3 linked regions of the Saccharomyces cerevisiae S288C genome follow. The protein of the gene in region 2 binds, or shares a complex with, the protein of the main gene of each other region. Each region holds a gene or a part of one and is shown on either strand. Other genes may lie near its edges. A codon is read from its position in the direction of its gene.

What was found.
Region 1: the proteins of SEC66 (region 2) and SEC63 are in contact, whole or in part, in a cryo-EM structure (PDB 6N3Q), measured with the Saccharomyces cerevisiae proteins. Residues at the interface, in NP_009730.3 of Saccharomyces cerevisiae: Asn69 (codon at 2,160), Lys109 (codon at 2,280), Leu113 (codon at 2,292), Gln116 (codon at 2,301), Ile117 (codon at 2,304), Leu120 (codon at 2,313), Asn123 (codon at 2,322), Gly124 (codon at 2,325), Ser125 (codon at 2,328), Ile126 (codon at 2,331), Gly127 (codon at 2,334), Glu128 (codon at 2,337), Asp129 (codon at 2,340), Tyr130 (codon at 2,343), Arg133 (codon at 2,352), Arg178 (codon at 2,487), Arg179 (codon at 2,490), Ser182 (codon at 2,499), Arg186 (codon at 2,511), Val189 (codon at 2,520), Glu193 (codon at 2,532), Trp194 (codon at 2,535); in NP_014897.1 of Saccharomyces cerevisiae: Gln247 (codon at 5,101), Thr250 (codon at 5,092), Lys251 (codon at 5,089), Lys252 (codon at 5,086), Asn256 (codon at 5,074), Ala259 (codon at 5,065), Ser260 (codon at 5,062), Val263 (codon at 5,053), Val267 (codon at 5,041), Asn268 (codon at 5,038), Tyr269 (codon at 5,035), Lys270 (codon at 5,032), Pro271 (codon at 5,029), Ser272 (codon at 5,026), Glu273 (codon at 5,023), Ile274 (codon at 5,020), Thr276 (codon at 5,014), Ile339 (codon at 4,825), Gly342 (codon at 4,816), Phe343 (codon at 4,813), Arg344 (codon at 4,810), Leu365 (codon at 4,747), Pro367 (codon at 4,741), Thr528 (codon at 4,258).
Region 3: the proteins of SEC66 (region 2) and SEC72 are in contact, whole or in part, in a cryo-EM structure (PDB 7KAO), measured with the Saccharomyces cerevisiae proteins. Residues at the interface, in NP_009730.3 of Saccharomyces cerevisiae: Ala71 (codon at 2,166), Leu74 (codon at 2,175), Gln77 (codon at 2,184), Ile78 (codon at 2,187), Met81 (codon at 2,196), Ile87 (codon at 2,214), His88 (codon at 2,217), Lys90 (codon at 2,223), Val91 (codon at 2,226), Lys93 (codon at 2,232), Ala94 (codon at 2,235), Ala95 (codon at 2,238), Leu97 (codon at 2,244), Asn98 (codon at 2,247), Trp159 (codon at 2,430), Leu162 (codon at 2,439), Met165 (codon at 2,448), Val166 (codon at 2,451), Glu169 (codon at 2,460), Ile170 (codon at 2,463), Phe172 (codon at 2,469), Asn173 (codon at 2,472), Gln174 (codon at 2,475), Leu176 (codon at 2,481), Ser177 (codon at 2,484), Arg178 (codon at 2,487), Arg179 (codon at 2,490), Tyr180 (codon at 2,493), Gln181 (codon at 2,496), Ile183 (codon at 2,502); in NP_013395.1 of Saccharomyces cerevisiae: Thr3 (codon at 8,586), Leu4 (codon at 8,583), Tyr6 (codon at 8,577), Lys11 (codon at 8,562), Ile13 (codon at 8,556), Asn27 (codon at 8,514), Ile28 (codon at 8,511), Gln30 (codon at 8,505), Ile31 (codon at 8,502), Leu34 (codon at 8,493), Thr35 (codon at 8,490), Leu38 (codon at 8,481), Ile39 (codon at 8,478), Glu41 (codon at 8,472), Pro44 (codon at 8,463), Asn45 (codon at 8,460), Phe46 (codon at 8,457), Pro48 (codon at 8,451), Ile85 (codon at 8,340), Glu86 (codon at 8,337), Gln89 (codon at 8,328), Arg90 (codon at 8,325), Ala93 (codon at 8,316), Pro94 (codon at 8,313), Trp95 (codon at 8,310), Glu96 (codon at 8,307), Phe98 (codon at 8,301), Gln101 (codon at 8,292), Leu102 (codon at 8,289), Leu105 (codon at 8,280).

What each region holds. Positions count from the first base shown.
Region 1 is NC_001147.6:801,185-808,750, forward strand, and holds SEC63 (protein-transporting protein SEC63), read right to left. Parts: upstream 5,840-7,566; coding exon 3,848-5,839; downstream 1-3,847. Other genes in the region: cleavage polyadenylation factor subunit CLP1, read right to left, coding at 1-1,123; TUM1 (thiosulfate sulfurtransferase), read right to left, coding at 1,366-2,280; TMA16 (Tma16p), read left to right, coding at 2,483-3,019; peptide alpha-N-acetyltransferase subunit NAT5, read left to right, coding at 3,193-3,723; OSW1 (Osw1p), read left to right, coding at 6,087-6,923; TRE2 (putative zinc metalloprotease), read right to left, coding at 7,070-7,566. UniProt on the Saccharomyces cerevisiae protein: Acts as a component of the Sec62/63 complex which is involved in SRP-independent post-translational translocation across the endoplasmic reticulum (ER) and functions together with the Sec61 complex and KAR2 in a channel-forming translocon complex.
Region 2 is NC_001134.8:576,409-580,817, forward strand, and holds SEC66 (Sec63 complex subunit SEC66), read left to right. Parts: upstream 1-1,955; coding exon 1,956-2,576; downstream 2,577-4,409. Other genes in the region: NPL4 (nuclear protein localization protein 4), read right to left, coding at 1-1,678; SMY2 (Smy2p), read right to left, coding at 2,742-4,409. UniProt on the Saccharomyces cerevisiae protein: Acts as a component of the Sec62/63 complex which is involved in SRP-independent post-translational translocation across the endoplasmic reticulum (ER) and functions together with the Sec61 complex and KAR2 in a channel-forming translocon complex.
Region 3 is NC_001144.5:711,779-722,265, forward strand, and holds SEC72 (Sec63 complex subunit SEC72), read right to left. Parts: upstream 8,593-10,487; coding exon 8,011-8,592; downstream 1-8,010. Other genes in the region: YLR287C (uncharacterized protein), read right to left, coding at 1-280; 40S ribosomal protein eS30 RPS30A, read right to left, coding at 759-947, 1,378-1,380; MEC3 (Mec3p), read right to left, coding at 1,702-3,126; GTPase GUF1, read left to right, coding at 3,311-5,248; ubiquinone biosynthesis protein COQ11, read right to left, coding at 5,367-6,200; GCD7 (translation initiation factor eIF2B subunit beta), read right to left, coding at 6,539-7,684; Ran GTPase GSP1, read right to left, coding at 8,993-9,652; ATP14 (F1F0 ATP synthase subunit h), read right to left, coding at 10,221-10,487. UniProt on the Saccharomyces cerevisiae protein: Acts as a non-essential component of the Sec62/63 complex which is involved in SRP-independent post-translational translocation across the endoplasmic reticulum (ER) and functions together with the Sec61 complex and KAR2 in a channel-forming translocon complex.

The sequences.
Region 1 (7,566 bases), on a different chromosome or scaffold from region 2:
TGACGGGGAACAGTTCCACCCTACCGACCTCGTTATCGAAAACATTGCTAGGTTTCCAAATAGTTAAATCCTCATAATCAACACCAATAGCATAAGGACTCAAGGCTGTATCAAGAGAGCCGTAAAAGTACTCTCTTATGGATGTCCTCTGCAAGGATCTTTTGTATACATCATCAACTGCGGATACACCATCCAATTTAGGAATGAAAAAAATATTATTATTTCCCAATTCTGGACCAAATGTCTTTTTTACTTTCTCCCAAAGAGGATCCGTTTCAGAACATAGTACTAGCATAATGTTAACATTGAGTTTCTCAATGATATGGTGCAGTTCAGCCAAATTTTCATCCAGTTGTGATATTGATGGCGTATCGACAATGCACCCTGATCTCCTGACTTGAGGATCCAAATGTAACCTTTGACCTACTACTTGACCTAACTGGCTTATACACTCAAGGTATAGATCTTTGTTCTCATTAATCCTTTCCAGGCCAAAATTTTTCACCATTGGCTGCTTATTATGTAGTAGTGTGGCACCACTAGTGAGACTCTGACCCCAAGTGGGTAGTTGTGCATCAAGTATATCTGATATTGGGGTGGCAGATATGCATCCAGGAACAGTAAAAATGGGCTGTTGAGGGTCAAGATTGATGTATAGTGGTTGGTAAGCGTTGAATTTCAAAGCGTAAGAACATAGTGTCCTCGATAGGGAAGTCTTCCCGGTTTGCGAACCACCAACAATCACCACTCGAGGGCCTTCAAAGTTAGACATTCGTATCTTCTCCAACATGAAGTGTAGATTATAAATATATTTCATAGTATGGTTAGGCTTGACAGTTATTGTATTCGTAGTTAAATCAGGACATTTCCATAATAATTCTGTTTCTTCGACAGCGTATATGGGAAACTTCCAGTTCTGAAAAGTGTACTCATCATCTACTGCCAACTCGGTGCCAAATATCTCAACTATGCCCGAGTTTACCTTGACTATCAGTTTTCCCTCTGCTTTAAGATCAATTTGCCAATCACTGCCCTTGGGAATAACCAACTTGTGCCATTCGTTATCACCAGTTATCAATTCTTCAGAGGTAGTATGCTCATCAATACCAGGTAGACTTGCCATGATGGTTTAATCGTGTTGGAATTTCGAAAAGAATTAATAGTTTGTTCTTTTCCCTCGATAGAAAGGTCTCTGCTCATTTTTGCCAGCAGTCTTATTTTTTGCTGTTATTTTCTATTTTACCGGGCAATAACAATGAAGAGCACAAATAAGACAAAGAAAGGGAGATCGCCCTTTAAGTAAGTAGATAGATAATTAATATATGTAGCTAAATAAATCGACTTGTCAAGAATATATTTCTCTTATTAATCTCTGTTTTCAGCAATCCACTCGGGCCCGGATTTCAAGACCCACTCGGTCCAGGATCCATCATATAATCTAACATTGGGAACTCCTGCTAGCTCCAATGCTGTCTTGATAATGACTCCTGAAACGCCAGTTCCACAAGAGCAAATAGTTGGTTTACTTGGGTCCAAAGTGCAATGAAAGTCTTTCAATGCCTTTTCCAAAGTAGCGTGTATCGCCTCCCCAGCTTCTGGGTACGTTTTGGTCTCCGGATCAAGTAAACTTCCATATGGTAATGGTTGGGTACCTGGAATATGCCCCGATGGAATGTCGGAACGAGGCTCTGGTTCTGTACCTTCGAATCTACCGAGCGACCTTGCATCGAAAGCATTGAATTTCTTAGCCAGTTCCCCACTCTTTACCAATTGGAACATTTCCTCATAGTCTACAATCTCCTTGTCTTGGAAACTTTCTGAGGACTCATAATGACTCTTTGGATAGGGTGAAAACGCTGCCACCTTAGAGGAATCTAGAGGGTACTTAAACTCTCTGTACTGGTTGAAATTATTTAGTAAGTACACCTTAGGATGTCCCATCACTCCTAATGTCCAAGCACATCTAGGGGAGCTAAAGTTACCAACACGATCGTAAACCACTAATATATCATCTTTTTGAACTCCTAAATTACTCATAGCGTCGTCAAAAACCTTCTTTGTAGGGAACATATGTGGATAGGGCGATTTTTTGTCACTGATTGCATCAATATCAAAGAAAATGGAGTTTGGTATACGTGGTTTGGTCAAGAAATCCACTTTATTATCAAGCTTCCAACTGGGTAGGTACCATGTTGCATCAACTGGAACGATTCTATGAACCTTCTCACTGGCCACTAACTTAACAAACGCTTTTGGAGAAATAAGATCAAATAATGGCATTGAATGTATGGGCAATTTTCTTCACAACTTTATGCTTTTGTCCTCATTGTTTGAATGCACTTACGCTGTATTATTGTACACAGCTGAACATCCCGAGCGAAAATTTTAAAATGGTTTAATAGACGAGATGAGAGATGAGCTCTTTAAAGGTACTTTCTAAGAAGAAAAGTATCGGAACAGGACTTACCACGACAAACTAATCATGCCGGTTACTAAATCTTTATCTAAGTTGCAAAAGAACTTATCCAAGAAAGGGAAAAATATCACGGTTCATCCGAAGGGTAGAAAGTATGAAAAGCTGGTCAGGGCTACTATGCGTGAAGATAAAATCGCAGCCAAAAAGAAGCTTCATCAAGACAAAAGAGTCCACGAACTAGCTCGGGTAAAATTTATGCAGGATGTAGTTAACTCTGATACATTCAAAGGGCAACCAATATTTGATCACGCCCACACAAGAGAGTTTATTCAAAGTTTTATTGAAAGAGATGATACGGAATTAGACGAACTCAAGAAGAAGAGGAGGTCAAACAGGCCACCAAGCAATAGACAAGTGCTACTGCAACAAAGGAGGGATCAAGAGTTAAAAGAATTTAAGGCGGGGTTTCTCTGTCCAGACTTGAGTGATGCGAAGAATATGGAATTTCTAAGAAACTGGAATGGCACTTTTGGCCTTTTGAATACTCTAAGATTGATCAGAATTAATGATAAAGGTGAACAAGTCGTTGGAGGAAATGAATAAGAAGTGTCGCAGAGGAATCTTTATGGTTTATATGCTCTTTATATAATTTTATGTATATTATAGTAGAAAAAGCAAAGAAAAAAAAGAAAATTGATATTATTAGCGAAGCTTTTTCACAAATTAATCCGTAACAAACAAATTGGCAAAGACAATTGAAGGGAGTAGTGCGAAATATGGGCCGTGATATATGCACATTAGACAATGTTTACGCTAACAATTTGGGCATGCTAACCAAACTAGCTCATGTGACAGTACCAAACTTATATCAAGATGCCTTCTTCAGTGCATTATTCGCTGAGGATAGCTTAGTTGCAAAAAATAAAAAGCCATCTTCGAAGAAGGATGTACATTTCACACAGATGGCTTATTACAGTGAAATACCAGTGGGTGGTTTGGTTGCTAAATTAGTTCCTAAAAAACAAAACGAACTATCTCTCAAGGGCATTCAAATCGAATTTTTGGGCGTGTTGCCTAATTATAGGCACAAATCCATCGGTTCAAAATTACTGAAGTTTGCAGAAGACAAATGCTCAGAATGTCATCAACATAACGTGTTTGTCTATTTACCAGCAGTGGATGATCTTACAAAGCAATGGTTTATAGCTCATGGCTTCGAACAAGTGGGCGAAACTGTCAACAATTTCATAAAAGGTGTAAATGGCGACGAACAAGATGCTATCTTATTGAAAAAACACATTTCTTAACAGATGGCTGAAAAATTTTTTTTTTTTTTTTGGTTTTGCTTTGTATACACATGTATCTATTTTTATAAAGATGAAATATATACGTCTAAGAGCTAAAATGAAAAACTATACTAATCACTTATATCTATTCTGGTGATTCATCATCTTCAGCTTCTGTATCCGTATCGATATCAGTATAATCGCTAGCATCACTTTCATCATCACTTTCGGTTTCGTCGTCATCAGTAGAGTACTCATCATCCTCCTCAGAATACACCTCTACTTGTTCCACTGCAGGAGAATCACGAACTTTCATATTCATGGTAATATCCAAATCTGTAGTGAAATAATCTGTGGATTTAACGATTACTCTAAAAAAGAAATCACCAACAGTTTCAGGTGCAGGCTGACCTAATGGAATTTTTATGGTCCCGATTTCCCAATCATTTATATCGAATTTTTCGTGTTTGGTTAAATCCATTTTTATCCTCTTATCAAAGAAATCTTTGTCATCGTTCAAGTTCTTGTAAGATAGCTTTTCAATGATAATTGGCGTTTGAAGTATTTTACCATCTTTTTGAGAACTTACCAGACAGCACCAACTCCCACGTCTCTTTGTAGGGAAAAATGGTGCAAAGGAATATGGGACGAGTGGCTGTTTACTCATCATAGCAAATGGATCTCTTTGAGATTCAAAATCTTGAGGTTCTGTTAAATTTTCTTCAGGAATTAAGCTAGTTGGTATCAATGGCTGTTTAGCAGAACGAACCAGTACTTTCAAAGAAATGTATGGGGTAGATGATGGTGTTACTTGGTTCTCACCTGGGACAAGGAAGTCTGCCTTGATGATCTTTAGATTTGGAATATGCGATGCAACTCTCAAAGTTTCGTTTAACTTTGCTTGATCCTTTATTCCAAGAACCTCACCAATCTTGGCATCTTCTAAAGTAAACAATTTACCTAATGTATGAATATCTCCGGTTTTGGTAATAAAGTGCTCTTTATCTACGTTCGGCAATTGAAGGATTTGACAGTTTGGTGTTAATGGTACAGCCTGAACAATACACTTGAAAGTATTGATTGCACCCAATGCAATATCTAAATTTCTGAATCCACAAGCAATATCCAATAAACCGTGTAACAAAGAGTGACATTTGGCCACTATTCTAAATTTCGCATTGTTAAGTTTACCACTATCTCTGCGGTTAATATGATCTTGCAAAAGTTTTTCAAAATCCGTTGGTTGCAAATCCGGGAAGAATTGTTTAAATTCATGAGCAAATGATAACCAGTGTAAGATCAAATCTGTGGTGACAATCTCAGATGGCTTGTAATTGACTAAGTTACTAACAAAATTAGAAGCCGTCACATTATGTATTCCCTTCTTAGTATACGATTGTGTTCTTGCCCACCATCTACTAACAAAATATGGCAAGATTAAACCTAGTAGCGCAACATAACAAACCACTAATAATGGAGATGCACTTCCATCTACCAAAAATCTTGGTAGAGCGATACCATGTGAAGTAGATTGTGGGCCATCTGGATGACCGTATTTCAAATAGTTTTGCCTAACCAATTCGTCAGTAAGGGATTCGTAAGCCTTCGTAATCTGAACATAAGTTTCTTCCATCACACTTTTCTCATCAGGTGTTAGGCCCTTTGCTAATTTATCTGGATGAAATTTAACAGATAATTTTCTATAAGCAGATTTGATGTCTCTATCGGAAGCACTAGTAGAGATACCAAGGATTTCATAAGGATCAAATAATTTTGTAGCAGCGTCTTTAATCGCGTCATTACTATTAATCCTTTGCAGAAGAATTGCAACTAAGATCCAACCCACAATAATTATAATATTTCTCCTGCTCCATATTTTGGACTTCTTATTACTATTTTTATCAAACTTCCTTCTAAATTGTTTGATTTCATCACTGGTGTATTCTTCATTCAAGTTCTTGAAAACTTCCTCATTAAACTCCTTACTCTTCCCTGAATTCCCATCTTCAGCATTGGCCCCAAAAAAAATTTGGTATATTTGAAGCAGTGTCATAGGCCCGACGACCATCAAGAGCCCCGTTAAAATGAAGGACGGCCACGTCTCACTAGCCTCATCATACTCGTAATTTGTAGGCATTGTGCTGTAATATGCAGTATATTTATTTTGTTGCGAAGGCCTTCTTTGGTCAATTATAACTGACTATTGTTCCAGTCGCATCTTTTATTCGTTCAGTGATCTTCGACGTGTTCAAGACAAATTTTTCAGAAAACGCCTTTCCGTAACGAGTGACCAATTCGCGTTATAAGAGCGATTGTGTCAGTAATGAAGTCAGATTGTGACATTATAAAGCTAAGACGTTAATAACTCAAAATAGAAAAGAAGCATGAGAGCACCACCTTCACCGAGAAAGTCCAAATCTGGTCATTTTTTTTACCTATATTTTCGACTGTGTCAACTGTTCAGTGGCCGGAAATTAAAGAGGAGGTGGCATGTCCACAAACTTCACATTCACCAATATAATACTCGCTGGAACTTGAGCCCCCTCTCCGAAATACACATTGAGGACATGATAAATGAACCGTCTGGACTATGTCCAGGAAGTTCCAAAAAGAAACCACTACTGATTGCAAGGTTTCCCAAGGGTTGCCAAGAATCACCAAGGGTATATGTACTGCAAAGGAACAATTTGTCTCGTTTAAAATTAAGCAAAAGAAAATATGCCCTAAGGTTCTATCACAATGAAATTTTTGGCAATAATTTAAAGAGAAAAGACGGAAGCATCCACAAAGTTGAACACCAACAGTGCGCAGAAACCGTTAGAAAGATCAAGAAAGTCACAGCAAACCATGCTGATGTTAAAATAATATTTCACGATAAAAATACTATAAGAAGTGACAAATTAGGGGGTAGGAGTAATAAGATGCAGACTAGGCCTAGTGTTCTTGAAGAGGATGTAGAAGAAGAAGTCTCTTCGGTATATATCAGATTTTGTGACGACCATTCCCTGAGAGTTAAAGATTATCACTCTTTGCACAGGCATTCTAAAAAATCTTCTAAAGAAAAACGAAATAATCAGGAGATTGGAAAATCTAAGTTGCTTGGGAAGCTTTTTGAAGAGGAAACATCGCGTCAAAACAAAGGTGTAGAGAAGAAACTAGATACGATTGTGATACAGAAATTTCAAAATTATCCTATTGTCTCCTTCTCTCGTGTCATTTAACAAAAAGATATATACAAACATAGGATACTAAGAGGAAAAGCATCCCAAAAAGAAGAAATGCTTGCATGCCATGTATTACATAATTAAAGAAAAAATTTTATTAACATACTTCCTTATACTTACAATATGTATTCTTTCAGTTCAATTTATTTATACCCGATGTCATTAGTCTCTTCGACAAACAATGCAGCAGACTGATGGAGTACTTTGCCAATAAGGTCAATTTGTTCTTGAGCCCTCTTCCAGTCATCATCGTAAATCGCATCCATCACTCCTGGAAATGTCCAGAAATCTACATTTCCACCATTTTTAGATTTATCCTCCTGTATCAATGTTGGTCCGAACAAAACGTTCTTATAAAATGATCTATTAGGTAGACCCGCCGGAGAGCATGTTCTTCTACCAATATTAGTCAATTTTTTATTCCATGTCCACCTATTAATTGAAAGTAAGGAGGGCTCTATACCATCCCCATGCGACCATACTATGTTCTCCCAACCTTGAGTCCATGACGCCCATTCGCTACCGATTTTCTTCCAAAATAACAAACCTTTGATTATTGATGTGAAGTTTAGTTTTTCAGGGTATGCTTGCTCTAACCTTTGCAATCTTTCATCGATATCTTCAACATAGCTTATTATGT
Region 2 (4,409 bases):
GAGATTCTTCCCATTCATTTTTCACAGCAGATTCTATTAGTAACTTCCATTCGTCTGGAGAGAGTATCTGCAGAGAATTTATGTATAATAGTAAATGAAAGTTCGAGATTTTTTCATGCAAAAGATTGAAATCTCCACTTGAAGCCACATTGAATAAATACTTTTTTAATTCTTGATAATCTTGAGATTGCCCCATAGCTTGTCGATTGCTCCATGGAAATCCGGTGGAACTAACGAATTTCGAGTTGGTTTCCGTATCGGTATTCGGGAACCCATGAGTCAGCGTCACTAAAAGATAGTCTACCGGAAATGCAGGCTTCGCATTTTCCTTCACTGTTATACCATATTCATTCGACTTCATGTAAAATATCTCAGGTACATATCTTTCATCTGTAGTGTCATTAATATATGCCATTGAAGGAAATGTGGACCCACTTATCATATCTGCAGTAACCAATGCTTCAGCTTCTGTGGATACTTGGTAGCTCGAAATATCAATTTCACCTTCCAAATTACCTGATATAACGCAAGTTACAAACTTGGAAGAAAAAAAACCTTGTTCGCTATACTTGCTTACATTAGGATGCCTTGTTTGATGCCTAGCAGCCATAATAACTTCTAATGATGAAAGAAAAAACGAATCCTTATGTCTTTTGCAAAAAACAGACCCATCCCCAGCTCCCGCGTCAGATAAATCTGTAAATATTAGGCCAATTCGCGAAAGCCCCATTTCTTGAGCCTGTCTATCAATCTGTAGCATTTCATTCTTGACCTGTTCTACGTCCATGGTTAAACCGTCTTGCTCATCATGCTGAGGGGGCTCGTATATCGCCTCAACGACGGCCTTTATACCTAAAGGTGTGTTATCATACTTAGAATAAGATCCGTACATATAGCCAAATCTTTGCATACCCGTGTACCTCCACGCCTGAATAAATTCATTAATTATTTCACTCTTCTGAAATTCAACGTGGTCAACCATTCTAAATTCTTGCTGTTGTAATGTAATTGCCGATGGTTGACATTTAGAACATATCCCCCGAGGCCATGGTTCATGGCCATTATGGCAACGCTTATTGATTCTAAAATCAGGTTCTGAAAGAGGGGAAATATAAGAGCTGCCGTTCTCCTTCTTATTAGCATTTTCATTTAGCTTTTTAAGATATGAATGAAACGATATATGTTTGATCTTATTCTTCTCATGATATTCTTTGTCCCAAGGAGGTAAAGGCGAGCAGTATTCACACATACCTCTATCACCGTGCTTGCATAGTTTTGATTTTTGACGAGGAATTAATCCGTCCTCTTTCTCTAGTTCCTCATCTACAGCGAGTTCTTTGATCCTTAGTGGACCGTACCTGTGTTGACGAATTCCCTTGCTGTCAATACCTACGGATCCGATTTCAACATTGACACCATCTTTCTCATTAGCGGGCTTGTCCGAATAGTTAAGGATCAGCATGTCACCGTGCTTTAGTCCTAGATCCATCACTGTTCGATCAGCTAGTTCAGAAACAGCATGAATACCTTGACCGGGCTTCTCACAAACAGTAAATGTGTCGACATCGGCATTGGGGTCCAGATTACCCACCAACTTTTCAATGACCGTTCCGAAAAGGTCGTTTTCTTGACAAGAAACCCTGTGTGTACCGTTTTTTGATCTAAATCTGATAAGCATACTTCACTTAAATGTATATCGATATCAGTAGTATAGGGAAATTTTTCTTCAGAGTACTGTCCTATTATTTGCCACTCTTCGTTCTGTATGTTACGAGGGCGTTCCTTAAAATGGGTAGACGCATCTTATTACCCGCCAAAAAACGTCAAAAGTTTTAGGAACACGTCTAAAAGTTGAAATAATATGTGAAAAAATTGATGAAATATTAATGAAATGGCTTATTTAAACGAATTCAAGTACAGGAAAGAGGTACGCACAACTACTTGAGTTTGCCAATATGTCCGAATTTAATGAAACAAAATTCTCCAACAACGGGACGTTTTTTGAAACGGAAGAGCCAATTGTGGAGACGAAATCAATCTCCGTTTATACCCCACTCATATATGTCTTTATTCTGGTGGTGTCCCTTGTGATGTTTGCTTCAAGCTACAGAAAGAAGCAGGCCAAAAAAATTAGTGAGCAACCATCCATATTTGACGAAAACGATGCCCATGATCTGTATTTCCAAATAAAGGAAATGAGTGAAAATGAAAAAATTCACGAGAAGGTGTTGAAGGCCGCTTTATTGAACAGAGGAGCAGAATCTGTTAGACGATCATTAAAGTTAAAAGAGTTGGCTCCTCAGATAAACCTTCTATATAAAAATGGCTCTATTGGGGAGGATTACTGGAAGAGATTTGAAACTGAAGTTAAATTAATTGAATTGGAATTTAAAGATACTTTACAAGAAGCTGAAAGATTGCAACCGGGCTGGGTTCAATTGTTCGTTATGGTTTGTAAAGAAATTTGCTTTAATCAAGCTCTCTCTAGACGTTATCAATCAATCTTGAAACGGAAAGAAGTGTGTATTAAAGAGTGGGAGCTGAAAATAAATAATGATGGAAGATTAGTCAATTAGTGCCTACTGTGTGCAAAGATATGTATTCGCTCGTTCAGTGTTTTTTTAAAAATATGTATAGAATTTGTCATTATCTGCGTTAAAAAATAGTTATAAAGTATATACAATAACAATAAATGATAAAGAAATATGCAGTGAAAAGAAAAAATTATGAAGCTTTTCCTTTCAGTGTTTTCTACCCTTCTTCTTGCTCACTACTTGGAATTCCCAGCCGTCGTCATCATTGCCTGATAGAGCTAGCGCTTCATTCCAACTTAGTGGATCATCACCTTGTTTTTCGCACGCAACACGTCTTTTAATAAATTCAGTGGCAAATCTTCTACCATCCATAACGTCACTATTGGCATAAATTGTTTCTTGAATCAATTCTTTAGATTCTGGCCCCGTAGGTAAACTCAATAATAGTTCTAAGACATTGTTATTGGTTATTCCAGAATTTAATTTCATCTGTGATTTACACCATTTGATAAATTCTTGCCGGGGAGAAACATTGTTCATGCTAGCAAAGGTAGTGGTAGTAGAAGTTGTGCTAGTTTTTGCCGTTAATGAAGAATTTAAACTGGTATTGGTTTTTGAATATGGGGAGACAACGGTTCCTATAGGTGCTTTCCCTTTAGAAGTCACCGTAGTCCAAGAAGATGTGGTAGTAGATGCAGAGGATGTGGACTTTACTTGTTTGGAAGAACTCTGAACCTTTTCCCATAGTTTTTTCTGCTCTTCTATGAAATTTGGATCTTCCAACTCCTTTAACGGAGACGACTCTTTCATCCCTTTTGGGCTTTTTTGAAACTGAGATTTAATATCAATAGTTTGATTCGATGGTAGGCTGGACTTGTTAGCCCAGTTAAGCACGGATTTTAGTTCCTCCTTTTGCTTTTCTTCTTTGCTGTTCCTCTGTTGTAGACCTAAGGGTTCTCCTTTCTTCTTTCCAGTGCTACTTACACCATTTTTAATTGAAGTTTCGATTGCATTGTTAACTTTGACTTTTGAGGCCCATGGTGCCGGATTCGCGCTTGAGGAATTTAATGAAGGCAAATCTTTTGATGTCTTAAAGCCTTCTGTTTGTGTTTGTGTGTCCTTTTTTGTCTTTTCTGATTTTTTTTGCTTTTCTGCTTCCAAAGCTTCTTTTTCCTTTTGTTCCTTTTGTTCCTTTTGTTTCTTCAATAAATCATCCTCTTTTTGCTTTTGTTTCTTCGATAAGCGAGCTTCTTCCTTCCTTTTGAGTTCTCTGTTCCGTTTCTCTTGTTCATCCAATAACGCTTTTGCTACAGATTCGGATTTTTCCTTCTTCCCTTTTTCCAGCATAGTGGTCGATTTGTATTCTTGCTTGTGAGATTCATCTGTTTGACTAATGGTGGTTGCTGAGGCTAATTTAATATCGACTCCCTTGGAGGTGGTACCTCCATCCATATCCCAGATATTGTCATGTGTCAATGGCTTGAAAATATCGTTTTCAGTAGCTTTAATAGTGCCAGTAGCGGCAACACCGCTTGCGTAAGGAGCTAGATTCAAGTTGATAGAATCAGAGCTGGTTGTTTGAACGTGAAGTTTGTCAAAAGTAGTGAATGGATCCGTATCATACTTCTCGAGTTTAGTCATTAACTCACCAAGTGTGATGAAAATATCGTTTATTCCTAGCGTTTCTGGAGTGCTTCCCAATCTTGAAATCTGAAGGGTTGAAGCAAAATAGCCACCTATGTACCATTGTGACATCATTTGGGTAGTAAATGGACCATGAATCTGTCCCTGCGTGTCTATGTACCTCCAACTGGATTCAACTGAAACTGGTGCTGGGAGTTGTGACATTCCGTTCATGCTCATATTAGGAGGAAT
Region 3 (10,487 bases), on a different chromosome or scaffold from region 2:
ATGGCCTACTAAAATTTTGGATTTCGGTAATCACAACTTTATGATTGTTATCAAAAGTTCCTGGCTTGCAAACAATACCTATTTTTGTGCAATGTGCCTTCAATACAGAGGCTAATTTGTCTAGTTCCTTAGTTGGGGTGGAACCTTGTAGTTTGGTAGTAGAGGAGATTTTACGCAAGTCTTCCGGCTTTTTGTATGGCACTAAAAACTGTTCATCTATAGAATTCAGCAGTTCCAATAATTTGACGTCATCCTTTCTATCACTGCTTCCAGTAGACATTATTGTATAACTGGTATTTCTCTTATAAAGTTTATAATAGGCGTCTCTGGTGATGCTTGTTGACCTCAATGGATTTTGTTAAAAGGAGGCTTCATGTCATCGTCAAGATCATTGCAGTTTTTTTCTAGTTTTTTTTTTTTCATTGCCACATTATGAAGCGCCCATTCAAAAACAACTAGAAAAACGTTTGCCAACCCTAGGTACGGCAAGATCCTCCTTATTAATAAAAGCATCACACCAAGACAGCAAAGAAGTAAATCGATAATATGAATAGCATAATTTTGCGAAGTTAAAGTCCTAAAGAAATAATTTATAGTTAACACTACTTACATAATTTCAATACTGCTTTATATTTAAAGTAAAAAACGCATAACGGAAATACAAATACAAGTCAAAAACTATCTTGAAGTAAAGATGGCATGACTGCTATTTTGTTTCTTGTTACTTTTAAGCTCCTTTTCCACAACTGTTAATTTTCTTATTGGACGGATGGACCTGGGTTCATTCTTCTCTTACCGTTAACCAAGGTAACGTTAACGAATCTTCTGGTGTACAATAATCTTTTGTAAGCACGACCCTTAGGCTTCTTTGGCTTTTCGGTTTTTTCAACCTTTGGTGTTTGAGACTTGACTTTACCAGCACGAGCTAGAGAACCATGAACTTTAGCCTAAATAAATAATATTAATATTAAAAATTAATGACCATGTTAGTATAGTGAATTTTTGAATTATTTGGCGTATCAGCAAGGATGCTAAAAATAAACTTCACTCTGCTATTTTCTCAAAGCCTTTTTAACTCTCCGTCAAAAAATGTTGTTATTAAACTCGACATTATGTTAAGTCCACGCTGTTGCCCTCGAAAAATCTGTGTCAAGCAATTACGTTTTTGATGTAACAGAACTCAAATTTAAAAAGTTTCCTATCATATTCTCAGGGTGGAGCCAGTTTAAAGATATATTGCGTTTTATTTCTTTTTCTGCGGTATATATAGATATGAAACACCAGTAATATATTCAAATTAGCTATTTCTTGTTATTCATTCCTCGCTGAAACGTCCATTTTTTTCATATTTTAAAATCCTAATGAGGCATTACGTACCATATTTGCGTAGTTTTTGTATGGGGATATGGAAGATTATTACAGTGGCAAATTTAATGTGCAGTTCATGTAGCCTTTAAAATGCAACATACCGTTCGTAAGGCTGTTTTGTTCTATCTATTTTTTCTGAGGTTTCCGACAACCTCACGACATTTTTTTTTTTCGAACGGAAAAAAGAAAAGCAGTTAGTATGTAAAGCACGGATTTTTTTATACATATGTACGGATGTGATAGTCTGCAACTCTGCAACTCTGCAGTTCTCAGCCATGTCAGATTTAAAGAGTTTCCTTAGCAACGTAGCAAAGAAATGTACCGCTGTAGGGTTTACAAGCCCTTCGATCTTGCTATATAATATATGATTTGTCCTCTTTCCCTTGGTTTTTCCACATCTTCGCTATCTTCCAAGCTACCACGATCCAACGAACAGTGGAATACGCAGGATTCGTCGTGAGAAATCGCCAAAACAACTTCTTCAAATGCAGCGTATAACTTGGAACACACCTTCCAATCTTTGCAACGGATGATTACTTCATGTGTGGACGAACTTTCCTGTTCAGCCTTTTCCACCATAACGGATATGTCATTAAATTCAGTATCACCGCTAGTATCAGCTGTGTAAATGTTTCCCCGCGTATCTGCGATCGAGCTATCCTCAATTCTTAATAAATCTTCATCGTAGCGGATATTTTCTTCCATCTCTCGATCTCTAGTATTGGTATATAGTGAAGACATCGGTTTATCCGCTTCGATAATCGGAAGAGATCCTTCCTCCTGCCGGCCGTCTGTGTCGATGTGCTGGTTTTGGGAAGGATTGTCAGTGAGCCCTTCTTGGCGTTGTATCACAGAGTCTAAGGGTCCATTCCAGCATATTTCCAAATGCCAATCTAATTCATTCACAATTATCTTAAGTTCTACATCATCACCTTCATTTCCATGCTCCTTTTTTTTGACTCCCATTAAATGAATGTGGTTGACATTACTGTACCGTTCAACACGTCTAATAAACCCGTGGAAGGCGGAGCCAAACTCGCCCGATATTGGTGGCAGCTTGTACATCATCAGTTGAATATAGTTAATCATTGGCTCTTGTATTCGCGTATCTTGTGCTCGGAATAATAGTTTGACAGGTACTTTGAACGAATGCATGATAACCTTATTGCTTGCGAGTAGATTTCCTGTGCCTACTGTGGTTGGTAAACCATTGTGCTCATCCACTCCCCCATTCATAACTATAGCGTCATTTGGGCCGCTAGTATGTACAATTTCTTCGAATGTTATACCTAGAGCACAAATGGGGTTCGGTTTTGAGGTTGTATCTACGCCTCCTGCTGTTCCTCCTGAAAGTGTTCCGTTATTTGTATTCCATTCTGGCATTGACTGTAGTTTTATAGTCATATTAGAGGAAGATCCTTGGTTCATTACTCGATCATACCTTTTAAACACACTCAATAAAGAATCACAATTACACTCCATTGTTATTGTATTGAGCTCGCGAGCTGATATAACTGTATATAATCTGAATACATCATGAGGAATGGTACACCAAAGCTGACCAGTATCCCCTCGTAATATTGTACCGTTGTTACTGCTGTTGAGTGATGATTTTGGAGTGGATATTATTGTCAATCTTTCACTATTAAATCTTAAGATAGCCGTCTTTCGTAGCGAAGCAACTGTATTGATAGTAGTTCTTAGCAATTTATAATCATCAGGTGCTTCACAACCATTTACTATCAATTTTAATTTCATTTAACTGAATTAAGACACACCTTTTGTCTTCTTTTTTCTCTCATCATCTCCGTATGTTTATGTTGCTATTTTGATGTAAATAAAAAAGTTGAATAATAGACGAGGGCAAGTATAACTCGCCTATATTTGTAGCCGCAACCATTGAAAAAGAGCCATGAATATGGGAAACTAGTTGCACATAAAAATGCTGAAATTTAGAATTAGGCCAGTGAGACATATACGGTGTTATAAACGACACGCATATTTCTTACGATATAACCATACGACTACCCCTGCACAGAAGTTACAAGCACAGATCGAGCAAATACCTCTCGAAAATTACAGAAATTTCTCTATAGTTGCCCATGTTGACCATGGGAAGTCAACCTTAAGTGACAGACTGCTGGAAATAACGCATGTCATCGATCCCAATGCGAGAAATAAACAAGTTTTGGATAAATTGGAAGTCGAAAGAGAAAGAGGTATTACTATAAAGGCGCAAACATGTTCGATGTTTTATAAAGATAAGAGGACCGGAAAAAACTATCTTTTACATTTAATTGACACGCCAGGACATGTGGACTTCAGAGGTGAAGTTTCACGGTCATATGCGTCTTGTGGGGGAGCAATTCTTTTGGTTGATGCATCACAAGGCATACAAGCACAGACGGTTGCTAATTTTTATTTAGCCTTCAGTTTAGGATTGAAATTAATTCCAGTAATAAACAAAATTGATCTAAATTTTACAGATGTTAAACAGGTAAAGGATCAGATAGTGAATAACTTTGAGCTCCCCGAGGAAGATATAATCGGAGTAAGTGCTAAAACAGGATTAAATGTAGAGGAACTGTTACTACCGGCTATAATTGATCGTATACCACCACCAACGGGGAGGCCTGATAAACCCTTCAGAGCATTATTAGTGGATTCTTGGTACGACGCATACTTAGGAGCGGTTCTTCTAGTGAATATTGTTGATGGTTCTGTACGTAAAAATGACAAGGTTATTTGTGCTCAGACAAAAGAAAAATACGAAGTCAAAGATATTGGAATCATGTATCCTGACAGAACCTCTACAGGTACGCTAAAGACAGGACAGGTTGGCTATCTAGTGCTGGGAATGAAGGATTCTAAAGAAGCAAAAATTGGAGATACTATAATGCATTTAAGTAAAGTAAATGAAACGGAAGTACTTCCCGGATTTGAAGAACAAAAACCCATGGTATTTGTGGGTGCTTTCCCGGCTGATGGGATTGAATTCAAAGCCATGGATGATGATATGAGTAGACTTGTCCTCAACGATAGGTCAGTTACTTTGGAACGTGAGACCTCCAATGCTTTGGGTCAAGGTTGGAGATTGGGCTTTTTAGGATCTTTACATGCATCTGTTTTTCGTGAACGACTAGAAAAAGAGTATGGTTCGAAATTGATCATTACTCAACCCACAGTTCCTTATTTGGTGGAGTTTACCGATGGTAAGAAAAAGCTTATAACAAATCCGGATGAGTTTCCAGACGGAGCAACAAAGAGGGTGAACGTTGCTGCTTTCCATGAACCGTTTATAGAGGCAGTTATGACATTGCCCCAGGAATATTTAGGTAGTGTCATACGCTTATGCGATAGTAATAGAGGAGAACAAATTGATATAACATACCTAAACACCAATGGACAAGTGATGTTAAAATATTACCTTCCGCTATCGCATCTAGTTGATGACTTTTTTGGTAAATTAAAATCGGTGTCCAGAGGATTTGCCTCTTTAGATTATGAGGATGCTGGCTATAGAATTTCTGATGTTGTAAAACTGCAACTCTTGGTTAATGGAAATGCGATTGATGCCTTGTCAAGAGTACTTCATAAATCGGAAGTAGAGAGAGTGGGTAGAGAATGGGTGAAGAAGTTTAAAGAGTATGTTAAATCACAATTATATGAGGTCGTTATACAGGCCCGAGCTAATAACAAGATAATAGCTAGAGAAACAATTAAGGCAAGAAGAAAAGATGTTCTCCAAAAGCTGCATGCTTCTGATGTCTCACGAAGGAAAAAACTTTTGGCGAAACAGAAAGAGGGTAAAAAGCATATGAAAACTGTAGGTAATATTCAAATCAACCAAGAGGCATATCAGGCTTTTTTGCGCCGTTAGCATTGCATATTATTGTTATTACCATTTTAAAATTATACCAAGCTGTATATAGTTAAGTACTTTTCATTTGTAAATAAAAGAGAAAAATAGATTAATAAATATAATAATGGCATAATCATTATGCTTTAAGTATTTCCTCAAGTGTAACTACCCCTTTAAAATCTGGGTTTTCGATATTTTTCAGGACGGATTTGCTTACCTGCTGAGTGGATACTGTTGGCCTAATCAAGTCGTTCAAAAGCTGCAGCTTATTTCTCAATAGAAATTTGTTACCGCAGTAAAGTAGTTCAAGTGCAGTATGAATAAAAGACCGTGGTCCAATTGCATTTCTGTGCTCATCGAACATAAAACCGGGTCTCACAATAATAGGCCTGAAATATCTCTGCATTTTTTCTAGTTCAATCTCCGCCTCTCTTTTCGAATTAATATAGCCACTAGGAATCAATGGGAAACCTTTATCGGCGGAAATATACGTAAAAGATCTTTGATTTGCTTTTTCTTGCTCCTTTTTGCTTTTCTTTAGGATTTTTTGTTTAAATGTATCTGCCAAAATAATAGCACTTTGCTTATTCATCATTTCATAAGTAAAATAAGGACTGCTTTTTTTTAAAGGATTTGGACCTGCACCAAAAGATAGAAGGCGTGATTTTGAATCATATGTAGGGGATTTGGATAGAGTTTGCTTATAATTTTCATTTTCTAGGAGGATTCCCAAAGAATGAACTACGTTAGTAGCATTATTCAATAATTCATGGTAAGAATCAGGCTTAAAAATGTCAGCAGCGGTCCATTGGACCTCCTGCATCCATTGCTTATCATTTAATTCATTGCTATGAGGAGCTTTACCGGACCTTGACACAGAAACGACTTGGTAGCCCGAAGTCACTGCTTCTTGACAAATTCTTTTACCTAAAAATCCATTGCCTCCAAAAACTATAAGCTTTGGTATCATTTTCTACTTCAGTTCAAGCTTTAGCTGTATTTTTGTATACGATACATATTTCCCTTATTTTTTTATTTTTTCAATGTTTTCCTGTTTTTCTATTATGCAAAAGCGACAAGATGGCATTACGAGGAGACACTCAACTAAAAAAAAAAAATGAGTCAAATTGCCAGACTTTGTAGAGAAGTAAAAAGTTAATGCTAAGATGCTCTTTATGTATTAGTCTTTTAACATATTCAAGGATACGTAAATATTCTGATTATATACTAATAATTAATAATAAAAAAATTGTTTTGATCTACAAGATTTTTATTTATTTTCATGAGTAATGTACAAAAGACACATCATCACGCCTTATTTTTATCCAAATGCACATCAATTTGCTTGTAATTATCCCACGCAATACGATATATAAAACTTGGATTGAACCCACCGACGTTTGTAATGTAGATATCAATATTTTCAGGCGGAACATAATCGGTAATTTGATTAACTGTATCTAATCTTTTTCTTGGATCCATTCTAGGTAATATACGTTGGGACCCACCAAATTCGACAAACTTCTCTACGTCGAACGGATATAGAGGAGAAAGCTTATACAAACCTGCAACAGCAAATACAGGGGTTCTAAATTCTCGGGCGCATTCACAAACGGATGATACACCTGAATTTGACGAGATAGTCCCCCCATTGACAAAAACGGCTTTAGTGCCGATAATAACCTTACCCACACGGGACATTAAAGCAAAAACAGCTGAGTCTGGGACTACTAGGGTTTCTATGTTGTGCTGTGCTAATTTTTTGGCAAACTCATGTGCATTCTTGGTGTTATTAGGGAACCCCTCTGTAACTAAAACCGTAAATGTTCTATTACTACGTTCGCGAGCAGTAATCAGAAATTTTAATACGGTTTTTGAATCAGGTGTGGGAGTTAATAAAATCTCATGATCGTGAATCAAATCAATAGCAATTTGCTGAATACCTTCATCAATGTTTTTTATCTCATCTATAAGATCCTTGATACCCTGAATGGCTACTTGACGGTAATCAGTCTTGGTTTTCATACTAGAGCTCCCTGAACTATTTTTTCTATTCTGATGAGGTTGCTCCGGTTTCTGTAATAAATTAAACATAGAGGAAATCAAAGGTTCAGCAACGGATGTGGATGTGACAGTTGTGCTCATAGTGTCTTCTTCTACTTCATCCCTCAAAACAGCCAGTATTCTTCTAATTACGTTACCGCAACTGAAAGCAGTAGGATGAGCTTTTTCTAGACTATTACCTAAATCTCTGATTTGTTCAATAAGGTCATTAACATGGTTCCAACGAGCTGCAGAGATAAATCGCATTAACAGTTGTAAAGTTTCCAAGGCGATGGCGTATGAACCTTGCACTTGTCTTCTTTTTAACTTAGCAACGAAAGTGTCAATGGTAACATTCACATCAGATGTTGCCGCATTCGGATGTACTGAAGTGAATGCTTGAGAGGACATCTTATGTTGGGCAAAAGTTCGAAAGTTGGCGTGTTGTGTTTACTGGTTCCGCACGAGTAATGAATGGTCTGTTTCATTTATGAAGGTTTTTTCTATGTCCATTTTTTTTTTTCAGCATCACGAAGAAAAAAAGCTTGCGGTTGGGAAGCAGAGGTATCATATACTCAAGCTGTATAGTTCAAAGCCTTTCATAAAGGCTATTCCTTAGTATATATGATAATGGGCTTGCTATGTGTTTTTGAATCTATCTAAAATTTCTTGCTATGTAGTCGTGTGTAGCATAGAGACATATCAAGAAAAGGCTAAAATATCTTCGGTTATGCACCTTATTCACCGTTATATTCGGCCAGATTTCTTGCAGTTTCTATTAAAAGGGCTCTAAGTTTCATATCCTCTGGGGCTAAAGCTAAACCTCTCTCGCATGTTGCCCTAGCCTCTTCCCACTGTCTCAATTTTAGCAAACAGTCCGCCTTCCTGACAAATACGTCTGGTTGGATAAGTCCCGTACCAAGTAAGAAATCCAAGTCTTGCAACGCCTCTAAATGCTTTCCGAGTATTAAACATAAATCTATTTTACTACGAAGCATAAAGTGTAGCTCTGGTAGCTGAATAGCAAAAGCTTCCCAAGGCGCTCTTTTTCTTTGTGCCATTTCGATTGCTAAAGAAACATTCTTCAATGCCTCATTCAATTTTTTTTGTTGTAAATTCTTCATACCACTTTCAAATAAACCCTTGATCATTTTGCTTAGAGCTTCATTCGGTTGTGGTGTAAAATTTGGGTTGGTTTCTCCAATCAAAGATGTAGTGAGAACATTTATTTGATCGATATTAGTTTCGGTAGATAGTGCAACAACAGCATCACTCGCAGTGATCAGTTTACTGTTTGCATTGTATTCAAGGGTAACCATGGTTGAATAAGCTTGCTTTGGTATGCCTTTAACGCAAGTTGAAGGAGACGTTTCTTTGATTTTAAGGCTATTGGTTTTATGTTCAAAGATATAATCTAATTGTTACGTGTGCTCCTACATCCGTTTGAAACGATCCATAAACGATCTAAAAAATATAATATTAGACAAGCCAAATACGTTTAAATATACTTAAATCACAGCATATTCACATTCAACTATTTGTTATATATTTAAATCTGTTTTATAAAAGACAGGAGTACCAGTTAGTTTGTGTTTTCTTGTTGCAATTATAAAATCTTCAAAATCATGTGGATTTTTATTGAATTTCTATATCGAGATGAATGTAAATATGTATACAGTTTAGGGTAGGGAAAAAAGAAAGCTTGTTCTCGTTTGTCCCTTATAAATCAGCATCATCTTCATCAGGCAATGGCAAAGCAGTAGCTTGTTCCATTTCTTGTTGGTATTGTTGCATCAATTGTTCATCGACTTGGACTTCTGGTGGGGCTAAAGCTGGAGAAGCAACAAATTCTAATTGTGGGTTACCAGCCAATTTTCTGGCCAACCATAAGAAAGGCTTTTCAAAGTTGTAGTTGGACTTGGCAGAAATATCGTAGTATTGCAAGTTTTTCTTTCTGTGGAAAGTGATAGTCTTGGCCTTGACCTTTCTTTCTTTGACATCGACCTTGTTACCACACAAGACAATTGGGATGTTTTCACAAACACGGACTAAATCCCTGTGCCAGTTTGGAACGTTCTTGTAAGTAATTCTGGAAGTAACATCGAACATGATGATGGCACATTGGGCGTTAATGTAGTAACCGTCTCTTAAACCACCGAATTTTTCTTGGCCGGCAGTATCCCAGACATCAAATTTAATTTCACCGAAGTTGGTGTAAAAGGATAAAGGATGCACTTCGACACCAATGGTGGCGATGTACTTCTTTTCGAATTCACCGGTCAAATGTCTCTTGACAAAAGTGGTCTTACCAGTACCACCATCACCGACAAGAACTAGTTTGAATGTTGGAACTTCACCGTTAGCAGCTGGGGCAGACATTTATAATATAAATGAGTTTATTTGATTTTCCTTTTGTACTGGACTAAAAATCGATTGAGGGAAAAATGTTGAAGGAGCAGTTCTTCCTGTTTAAAAACGAAACAAACTTAAAAGGTGAGGAAAAGTTGATCATACAGTTCAAATTTTTCAAAATCTTCGCCAAAGAAAAAAGAAACGAAAATTTTTTTTCTATCTCGGTGGGATGAGCTTTCGTCCAGAGCGATATTATCCTAAGGTGACGAACCACGCATGTCCTTCATAAACGGATCATTATTTATTTACCAAAGAAGCGTAGGTCATACTTAGAAAGTAATAGTTATTGAAATAAAAGAATAGTAGTAATAGGAAAGATAAAGACGTGTCTATGTACAATTGTATTTTTTGTTTAAAAAATAAATTCTGCATTTTGTGTGGCTGATTACAAAGAGTGCGTAGTGTATTTTGCTTTTTCTTTATTGTACTGGATTCGAATATAAAAAGATGAGAGGAAGAAAGCCAAAAATAATGATCTTGTTCAGCTTGTGGTTCTGTTTGTTTTTTCTTCGACAAGGAGGATGCTATGAAAAGTTCAATGACTTTCTTTGGTTTCCTCAGCATCATCCAAAACTAGCCAATCCTCTTCAATTGGCTCTGACTCACCCTCTTCAGACTCTTTAGCAACATGAGCAGTTTCTACATTTTGCTCGGTGTAAGCCTTTAAAGCCTCTGGGCCTTGAAGTTCCAATTCTGGTAGATTTGGTTTTTGTGGTGGGTTCCAAGGCTTAACATTACCTTCAGCATCTTGCAAGGTACTTGGAGCCAGTTTGGTGTCTTTTAGTTCCCTCAAATACAAATC